Canis lupus familiaris: one gene and its partner. Each later gene encodes a partner of the first gene's protein in a complex. Links are inferred from orthologs where the notes say so. Each region holds a gene or a part of one and is shown on either strand. Other genes may lie near its edges.

Region 1 (4,386 bases):
TGTCCGCCCCCCGCCTGGTGGACATTGTAAAACTGACCACAGCTGAGCAGATCCTGAGCCAACAGCACAGGCTCTTTCACTACAGCAGAATGCTCCCTGGGCAAGGTGAGTTCCTTCATAGACAGGACACACCTCCCCACCGGCTGGCTGATTCTCCCTCACACCTAATGTGAACTGACCATGGACCATGAAATACCATCCCAATCAATGGAAGTCTCCCTCTAATGCAATATAATCTGCTATGGGCAATGTGAACTCCCACCCGGTATGTGCCTCCCCGTGGACAGTATAATGTCTCCTATCCATGACAAAGTTAACAAGGACAGTGCACACCTCCATGTATGGGGAGCCTTCTGCAGCGGCTGTGAACACTTTTCATGACAGTGTAAACCACTCTCCAAGGGTCTACCTGAGTAGGCAATGGGAACTCTTCTGATACTATAAGCTTCCCTCAGACCCAGCATCTACTTAACATACAGTCTAAACTCAAAACCTGCTCGATACTTAAGTGCACACTCTTCTGGAACGTGATCAAAATAGCACAAAATAGCATAAAATAGCATGGTTATGAAATGGCATATGTAAGTCATAATACAATAGCGTAAGTAATAGTGTAAGATTCCTTCTCAGTGTGAACTTGTAGACAGTGAAATTTCTCCCTCTCTCAAAGCGAAATCTTCTGTGGACGGTGGATAACATGAATCTCTTCAAACTCAGTGAACCCCAATGGACAACTGATATTTCTTCCTAGCCCCGGGATGAACTGGCCCCACAGTGGGAATGTTGCACAGCATGCACCTGCGATAGGTTGGGTGCGTTTTCTTCACAACTGGGATGAATCCTGTGTGCATCCTCGGAACCCATCACAGGCAGCGGAAGGCTCCCCTAAGGCCAGTGTTCACTGTTCCCCATTACCCTCTATCTAGGGCAAATCCAACGGATTTGGAGAATGGATGCACTGCAGACGGCTTCACACCTGGCATAAACTCCGTGTCCGGGCTGCAGGAATCTACTACTGACAAGGCATATGTCTCCCCTCCCTACCCTGTGTGAACTCCACCCCCCCCACCCGAGACCTTAAAAAAAAAATCTCGCTCCCGCCAAGCGCGAACACCCACAAAGTAGCTCTCCACAGAATGTAGCGAGAAGGGAATGTGGTGTGAAGCCCCATGGAGCGCCGCATATCCCCATCCCATGCCCCGACAAGCCGAGGGGAGCTGTCAGAAAACTGCACCGCCCTAAATGTCAAAGTCTTGGAAGGGGGGACTTTTCCCCAGGGTCCCCGAGCCCCAGGCCGCGCGCGTTCACTCCACTGCAGCGCGCGCCACCCTACACGCGCACGTTCTCTCCCCTCCCGGTGGCAACAGGGCTTTCCGCGGGGCCGCGCCGGACTTTCTGAAGCTGTTGATTGGTCATAGTCCCGGCCACCCTACAGCCAATCAAGCGGGGGAAAGGTGACATCACTCGTTCTCCTCCCCTCCCCCCCACCCCAAACTTCCCTACTCCCGGCTACCGACAGCAACAACCACGTGGGGGAGGGGTAACAGAGTAGAACCCGGTGAGGTCATTGCGCCGCCCCGGCCGCTGCTGATTGGCTGCGGGGCTTGCGGGTGGCGGTTGGCTGCTCCTCGCACCTCCCCCTCGTGCCGCTACAGCCGCTACTGAGAGGAGCCACTGGCGACGCCAGAGCCGGGAATCCGGGTGAGTTGGGGCCCTGGGTCTAAGATGCTCCCGGTGTGCAGGGAGACTTACAGGAACTGCCCTGTCCGACTTTTTCTCCTCGCCCGAGTTCTTTGGTGCTACAGCACTCTGTCACATGGGAGTTGTAGTCTGTTATGTACTGTCGACTATGGGCCGGAGACGTCAGAAGACTACCATTCCCAGCAGGAATTGCGACTAGCCGGTCAACAAACGCTCAGGCCACGCCTTCTCAGTCCGCTTATTGGACAGCCTATCCCTTAGCCCTTCCTTCTTGCACTTCATTGGCTACTGTCCCTAACAGAGGCTGGGTTCCGGCCTAGAGTGCAGGGCGAGTGGGTACTGTATTCGTCATTCTGCACTAGGACGGCCTGCAATTGGTCAAGGCTGATGCCCATCACTTGTTGTGGGGCAGGGCCCTAGGCAGATCAGGCGGTCGTAGGCTCAGGTTGGTGTCGGTCCCAGAGGGAGGCCGGTCTTGGACTTTGGCCCCTCCCCCTTGCGCTGCCGGGTGGGCGGGATTGGTCGTGGCGAATGTCGCTCGTCGTGGAGAGGCGGAGCCGACCAGGCTGCGAACATCTATTGGTCTAGGACGGCGCCGGTCAGCGGGGTTGTGGCCGGTGATTGGCTGGCTGCTCCAGCTGTTGCAGGTCCATTCACCATTTTGTGTGTTGGAGTAAAAAAAAAAAGGGAGAATCGAGAGGGAGAGCCGGAGGGGGGGCGGGGAGGGACCGGACCGGACCGAGCCGGGGCCACGGCCCCCCGCCCCGAAACCCCGCCGAGCCCGAGGTGAGGGGCGGGGCCAGGGCTGACACGGGCAGGGGGGATTTGGGGTGCTGGGGGCCGAGAGGGGACAGGTGGCAGGGACGGGGAGGGGGTACAGGGGGAAAAAAGGTGGGTTGGATGGTGGGAAGGGGGGATAGAGTGGATGAAGTGGTGGGGAGGAAGAGAGACAGAAAAGGGGTGACGGAGAGGGGATGGTGGGCAGAGAATGGGTAACAGGAATGGAGGGGTGACAGGACTAGATCAGGGTGACAGGGAGAGGGAGGGGACAGAGTTGGAGGGGTGACAAGGAGAGGTGATGGAGAGAAAAGGTGACAGGTCCGGAGATGGCTGACAGGAGAGTGACTGGGAGGAAGAGGTGACAGAGATAGATGAGGGTGACAAGGATGGGGTGATTGAGGAGGGGGCCTAGGGCCTGTGAGGAGAGAGGTAGAGGTGGTGACAGGATGGGAGAGAGAGTGGCAGAGAAGCTGGTGCCAGCAGGGCTGATGGGACCAGAGGGCATGAGACCCTGAAGAACCAGGGCCTGGGCCGGCCTGGGCTTCCAGGAGTTACTGCTTAGATTCTGAAGGAGGTGAGGGCCCACAGGGCCTTGGGTGGGAGTTCTCCAAAGTGGGGTGAACAGGGAGAGAGTAGGCCCCAGGGGAAAGAAAAAGGCTTGGCTTTTGGGGTGAAGAGGCAGGATCAGGTGGCAGGGTCCAGGGGTGCCAGGCGGTATGGTTGTAGGCCCTGGGTGGGGTATGCAAAGGTTTGTGTTTGGGCAGGACTGGGGCCGGATCTCAGTCCCCAGGATGGTGGCCCAGCGGGTCAGTGGGGAGAAGGTGGTGGCAGCTTCCCAACTCCTGGGCACTTGGATGCCTGCCCCAGTGTGAGAAGCCCCGGACCCTACAGGCTCTGCCTGTGGGGACCCCAGGATTGGTCCAGAGAAGGAGCAGCCTGAGATTGCAGGGTCCACTGGAGGAGCAGGCCCCAAGTAGGAGAACACGAGATCAGGGGTTCCTGGGGGAGTTTGCACACTGAGTTGGGGGTGTCTCAGATTGCGTTTGGGTTATGGTCCCAGGCACCCCCACCCTCCCAGAGGCCCCCTTTTGGCCTCTCAGGTTCTCTTAGTCACTTTAGAGTAAAGTTTTTTCCCTTTTCTTTTCTCAGGGCAGCTTGAAAGGGGGCGGGCAGTAATGACTGTTCAGGAAGTGGGTGAGGTTGGCCTGCTGGGCTTGCCCTGCTTTCTTTGACCTTCTCCCACTTACCCCCACCTGGAGCCGGAGGGCATATTTGGGGGCCCCAGGGGGCCTGGCCAGCTCAGCCACCCTGCCAGAGGCAGCCCAGTCAGGGCGGGGATGTGTGCAGGCCAGAAGGGGGGCTGGGCTTGCTGGTATCACGCTGGGTGCTGTGGGGGAGGGGCAGGCTCCCATCCAGTGGGACAGCGAAACCCTGGGGTGTAGCTCTGTGTCCCACTGTGTGATGACGTGTGTGTGCCTCTGTGTGTGTTTTTGTGCGCGTGCGTGTGCTCATGCACGGCCCCGTGGCAGTACTGGGTATAAGCTCTTGCCCCAGACGTGCCCCTGCCTGCTCCCTGCCAGGATCTGGGGAGATGGCTATACCTGGCAGGCCTGGGGTGCAGAGAAGAGTGGGCAGCCGTCCCTTAGGACTTCCAGCTGCCCACTCCTTCCCACAATGTCTGGCCATGCCAGGTGGCCCAGAGGGGTTGGGGGTGGGGGTGGAGAGAGGCTCACATCACAGCCCAGTCACCTCCTTTTCTGTGACTGTGTTCCTGTGCATGTGTGTGTATGAGTGTGTGTGCTCTCTGGACAGTGACAGTGCAAGGAAGCGTGCCCTCTGGATCATGTGACAGGCGGCACACTGAAATGGTTAGGAGCACAGACTCTGGAGCAGCCAGATTGCCTG
Region 2 (3,896 bases), on another chromosome or scaffold:
TTTTTTCAAATAATTCTATTCAGTAGACATGACTGTCATTGTTTCTAAAGTACTTTCTCTTGATCCCTGTATTTACCCTTATTTTGGATGAGCAGTAGTCTGTAAGAGACACTGAACAGCCAGCCCTGCTCTGAGCCATGCTGACTTACTTGTTCTGTGATTATATTCTTCATACTTGATGTCTTAAACATTTTGTTTCCCTTCTTTAAAATGATTGTGCCTGGCTGGCTCAGTCAGTAGAGCACGTGACTCTTGATTTGGGGGTTATGAGTTTGAGGCCCACGTTGAGTGCAGAGATAACTTATACACACACAAACACACAAACATGTAAAACTAAAAAAAAGCTGATTGCACATGCACATTTCTGAACTGATACATTCCTACTGTTCCTTCTTAACAAGTCAGAAATATCCCTTCAGGGAAATCCTGTTTAGCTAGTGGCCACCTCTAGCACAGCCAGATGCTCTCTCTGTGGTGCTACTATCCTAGATAAAGGATAAACAAGATAATGTTTCTGTATCTTACTTAAGACTGTGAGCTCCTTGAGGGCAAGAACTTTGTGTTTTCTTTATATCCCCTCTGGCCAAATACAGTGCCTGGCACCCAGCCAGTACCAAGAAATGCTTACTTGAATGAATGGATGAGTGAATAGACAAGCTCTTTATATTTAGTGTTTGATGTAACCTAGCTTTATTAGAAACTATGACTTGCTATAGGCCAAAGCATTCAACTGATGACAACTACATGACCCCTGCTCTCAGTCCATGCTTCAAGTCCAAGGTGGAATGGTTGTAGTTACTGTGGTAGTCCTTCATTGTGCTTACCTGTAATAAAATAGCTTTTTATTGGTACCTAATACTTTATCTTCCTTCTTTTCAGGAATTGTTGGATAAGTATTTAATAGCCAACGCAACTAATCCAGAGAGTAAGGTCTTCTATCTGAAAATGAAGGGAGATTATTTTCGGTACCTTGCTGAAGTTGCGTGTGGTGATGATCGAAAACGTAAGTATGTTTGGTTTATAGGTAAAGTTAAAAAAGGAAGGGAGGATAAGTGGGACACTGTGACAGTAGTCGCTATGTAATCTCCAGGTCCTCTGTAACTTTTTAAAAAATCTTGGAATCTACATACGATAAAATTAATGTAATGTGACCTTAATGTTCTAAAAAATGAAAATAGCCATGAATTTACATAATGTACTGTTTTTGAAAAATTAAACTCAAATTCTGGTGATAATCTGCTAAGATATTATTTAAAAGGCTTAATCTTGGGCGCCTGGGTGGCTCAGTCATTCAGCTTCCTACTCTTGATCTCAGCTCAGATCTGGATCTTTACAGTTGTGAGTTCAGGTCCTATGCTGGGCTCCACACTCAGTGTGAAAAATAATAATAATAAAGAAAAAATAAGAGAGGCTTATTATTACTCTTTTATACTTTAGAGTTTGGTGAAGCATATTTTTTAGCCCCCTAGTTATTTGCATATGCTTTGAGAGTTTGTGCTGTTACATGGCCTTTTGTGTCATCGTACCTTGAAACTTACTGGAAATTACAAAGAGAATATAGAAACAGCATGTTATGCTTTTTCTGTTTGACAATTTATTAACTACCTATTTTGAAGGATCATTACATTGACTACCAATACTTACAAGACCAAATTTCTGAGGAAGAGAGGTGAGTGAGAGTTTTGCTGGTATATAGTTTGTCATAGAAAATATAGATCTGGGAAAGAGAATAAATGAATTGCTAGAGTTGATTGTAAAAAGAAAATCAAAGCAATTTATTACTAGTGGACTTAGCCTCCTGGAGTATTAGTAGCTGAGTACAAGTCAGGTCCTATTAAATTTTGTGTATGTGCCTGCTATCATATTTATCAAATTCTAGTTAGAATTTTCACCCAATTCCTTATTTCTGGTAGGTTTATTAATTTGTTTTTAATTTTGCCCCATCCAAAAAGAGTGTACTTTTTCAAGTAGTTACTGTGGCTTCCTACCCTCAAAGAGGTACTAACTGAAAGTGGAACAGTTTTACCACCCCAAATATCAGTGTAATTGAAGATACAAAGAGAAAACTATTGCATCCTACTGTAACAATTTGTATACTAAACTTATTGATGTATAATTTCTGTTGTCATAAAGATAAGCAAAGCTGAAAGTAACAGATATTTGCAAGTCACAAGGATATCTTTGGGAGACTGGGACATAGCCCCAGCATTAATCTTATTTAACCCTTTCTAGCTTCCTGGCATTTCTATCCCTATCCATAGAATACTCCGGTAGACTGGGACTCATAGTCTGTATTTACAGCTTAGGAGCTGAGACCCCTTACTGCTACTCATTACAGTACTTCCTTAAATGCCAAACAGCAAGAACTCCTTACTATGTGAGGGCTCTACCAGCTATATTTAGATTAATAAGTGTGCCATTTCTGAAGAAGGAAAAATCCTTATATTCAGGCCATAAAAAGGTTAACTTTACATTTCTATTAGAGGAGTATTTCTAAAGCTGTAATGGGCCAGTGGTCTCATTGAGAAAACCTACCTACTCTTTTGAAAGCATGGCTATAGTCAGATTAGAATTGGTAACAATCACTGAACAGCTTTTTTCAGGAAGGTAACCTTTTTATTAGGCCAGTAATCAATCTCTTGTCAGAGCAGATTTTATTTTGTATTTTGACACTTTTATATTGCCTTTTACATAATACATCTTGATACCAAGGATTAGTATTGTTTTTACAAATAAGTCACAAAAAAAGAGATTTTGGTGGTATGATCTTTGTAAAGTGTTTTCATGATTTTGAGAAGAGATAGCCAAAAATTTTTTCTAGCTTTATTGAAGTATTATTGACGTGTATCGGTGAAATTATTTTTAATTGCTGCATTTCCAATTAGTAAAATTAAAAGATACGGAAAAAGAAAATTGTTTGAGTCACAGATCTGGAAAAATCCAATTGCACTATCTCATATTGGGTTTTTTAAAGCTGATTATAAGCAAGCAACATGGGACGCCTGGGTAGCTCAGCAGTTGAGCATCTGCCTTCAGCTCAGGGCGTGATCCTGGGTCCAGGGATCAAGTCCCACATTGGGCTCCCTGCAGGGAGCCTGCTTCTCCTTCTTCCTGTGTGTCTGCCTCTTTCTCTGTCTCTCATGAATAAATAAATAAAATCTTTAAAAAAATAAAAAAAGCAACATTATAAACTAGTTTCTCCATAAGCTGGTATGAGGTAATGTTTTCAGTTTGCTACTATGGTTTTAAAGGAAGGCCACAGAGAAAAATCCAGCTCTGCATGAGGTAGTAGCATAAGTTAAAGGTTAATATGCTGTATACTTGATGGATATTTTCAGTATTGTGCTTCTTTTGTCTCTCCCCCCCCCTCACAGAAACGATAGATAATTCCCAAGGAGCTTACCAAGAGGCTTTTGATATAAGCAAGAAAGAGATGCAACCTACACACCCCATTCGCCTGGGGCTGGCTCTTAACTTTTCTGTATTTTACTACGAGATCCTTAATAACCCAGAGCTTGCCTGCACTCTGGCTAAAACAGTAAGTTTCGGGTCATTCTTATATGTTCTTACTCATATTGATAGGGTCATTGTCATAAACTGGGAATCTGAAAATGATTCCATTGAGTTTTATTTTAATTGATAGTAGAACATAAAGTGGATGTTCACCTATTTTATAAAAATGGTTTATAGTTGTAGAGTAATGCAGTTTGTTTTGATGCAAATATCTACCATGGATATTAATATTTACCAGGCTTTTGATGAGGCCATTGCAGAACTTGATACACTGAATGAAGATTCATACAAAGACAGCACCCTCATCATGCAATTGCTTAGAGACAACCTAACAGTGAGTTGTTCGTTCTTTTAATTTTATTTTTAAGAATAAAAGTACTTCT

The links.
Region 2: the proteins of CIC (region 1) and YWHAQ are in contact, whole or in part, in a crystal structure (PDB 6KZG), measured with the Homo sapiens proteins. The link is inferred for Canis lupus familiaris from reciprocal best matches to the Homo sapiens genes CIC and YWHAQ. Residues at the interface, in NP_001291744.1 of Homo sapiens: Arg1207, Ser1208, Met1209, Ser1210, Glu1211, Thr1212, Gly1213, Thr1214; in NP_006817.1 of Homo sapiens: Lys49, Arg56, Lys120, Arg127, Tyr128, Gly169, Leu172, Asn173, Val176, Tyr179, Glu180, Leu216, Ile217, Leu220, Asp223, Asn224, Leu227, Trp228.

The regions. Positions count from the first base shown.
Region 1 is NC_049222.1:112,834,831-112,839,216, reverse strand, and holds the start of CIC (protein capicua homolog), read left to right. Parts: upstream 1-1,552; 5' UTR 1,553-1,701; intron 1,702-2,338; exon of another isoform or gene 2,339-2,487; intron 2,488-4,386. UniProt on the Homo sapiens protein: Transcriptional repressor which plays a role in development of the central nervous system (CNS). In concert with ATXN1 and ATXN1L, involved in brain development.
Region 2 is NC_049238.1:6,670,165-6,674,060, reverse strand, and holds part of YWHAQ (14-3-3 protein theta), read left to right. Parts: intron 1-879; coding exon 880-1,003; intron 1,004-3,374; coding exon 3,375-3,538; intron 3,539-3,751; coding exon 3,752-3,847; intron 3,848-3,896. UniProt on the Homo sapiens protein: Adapter protein implicated in the regulation of a large spectrum of both general and specialized signaling pathways. Binds to a large number of partners, usually by recognition of a phosphoserine or phosphothreonine motif.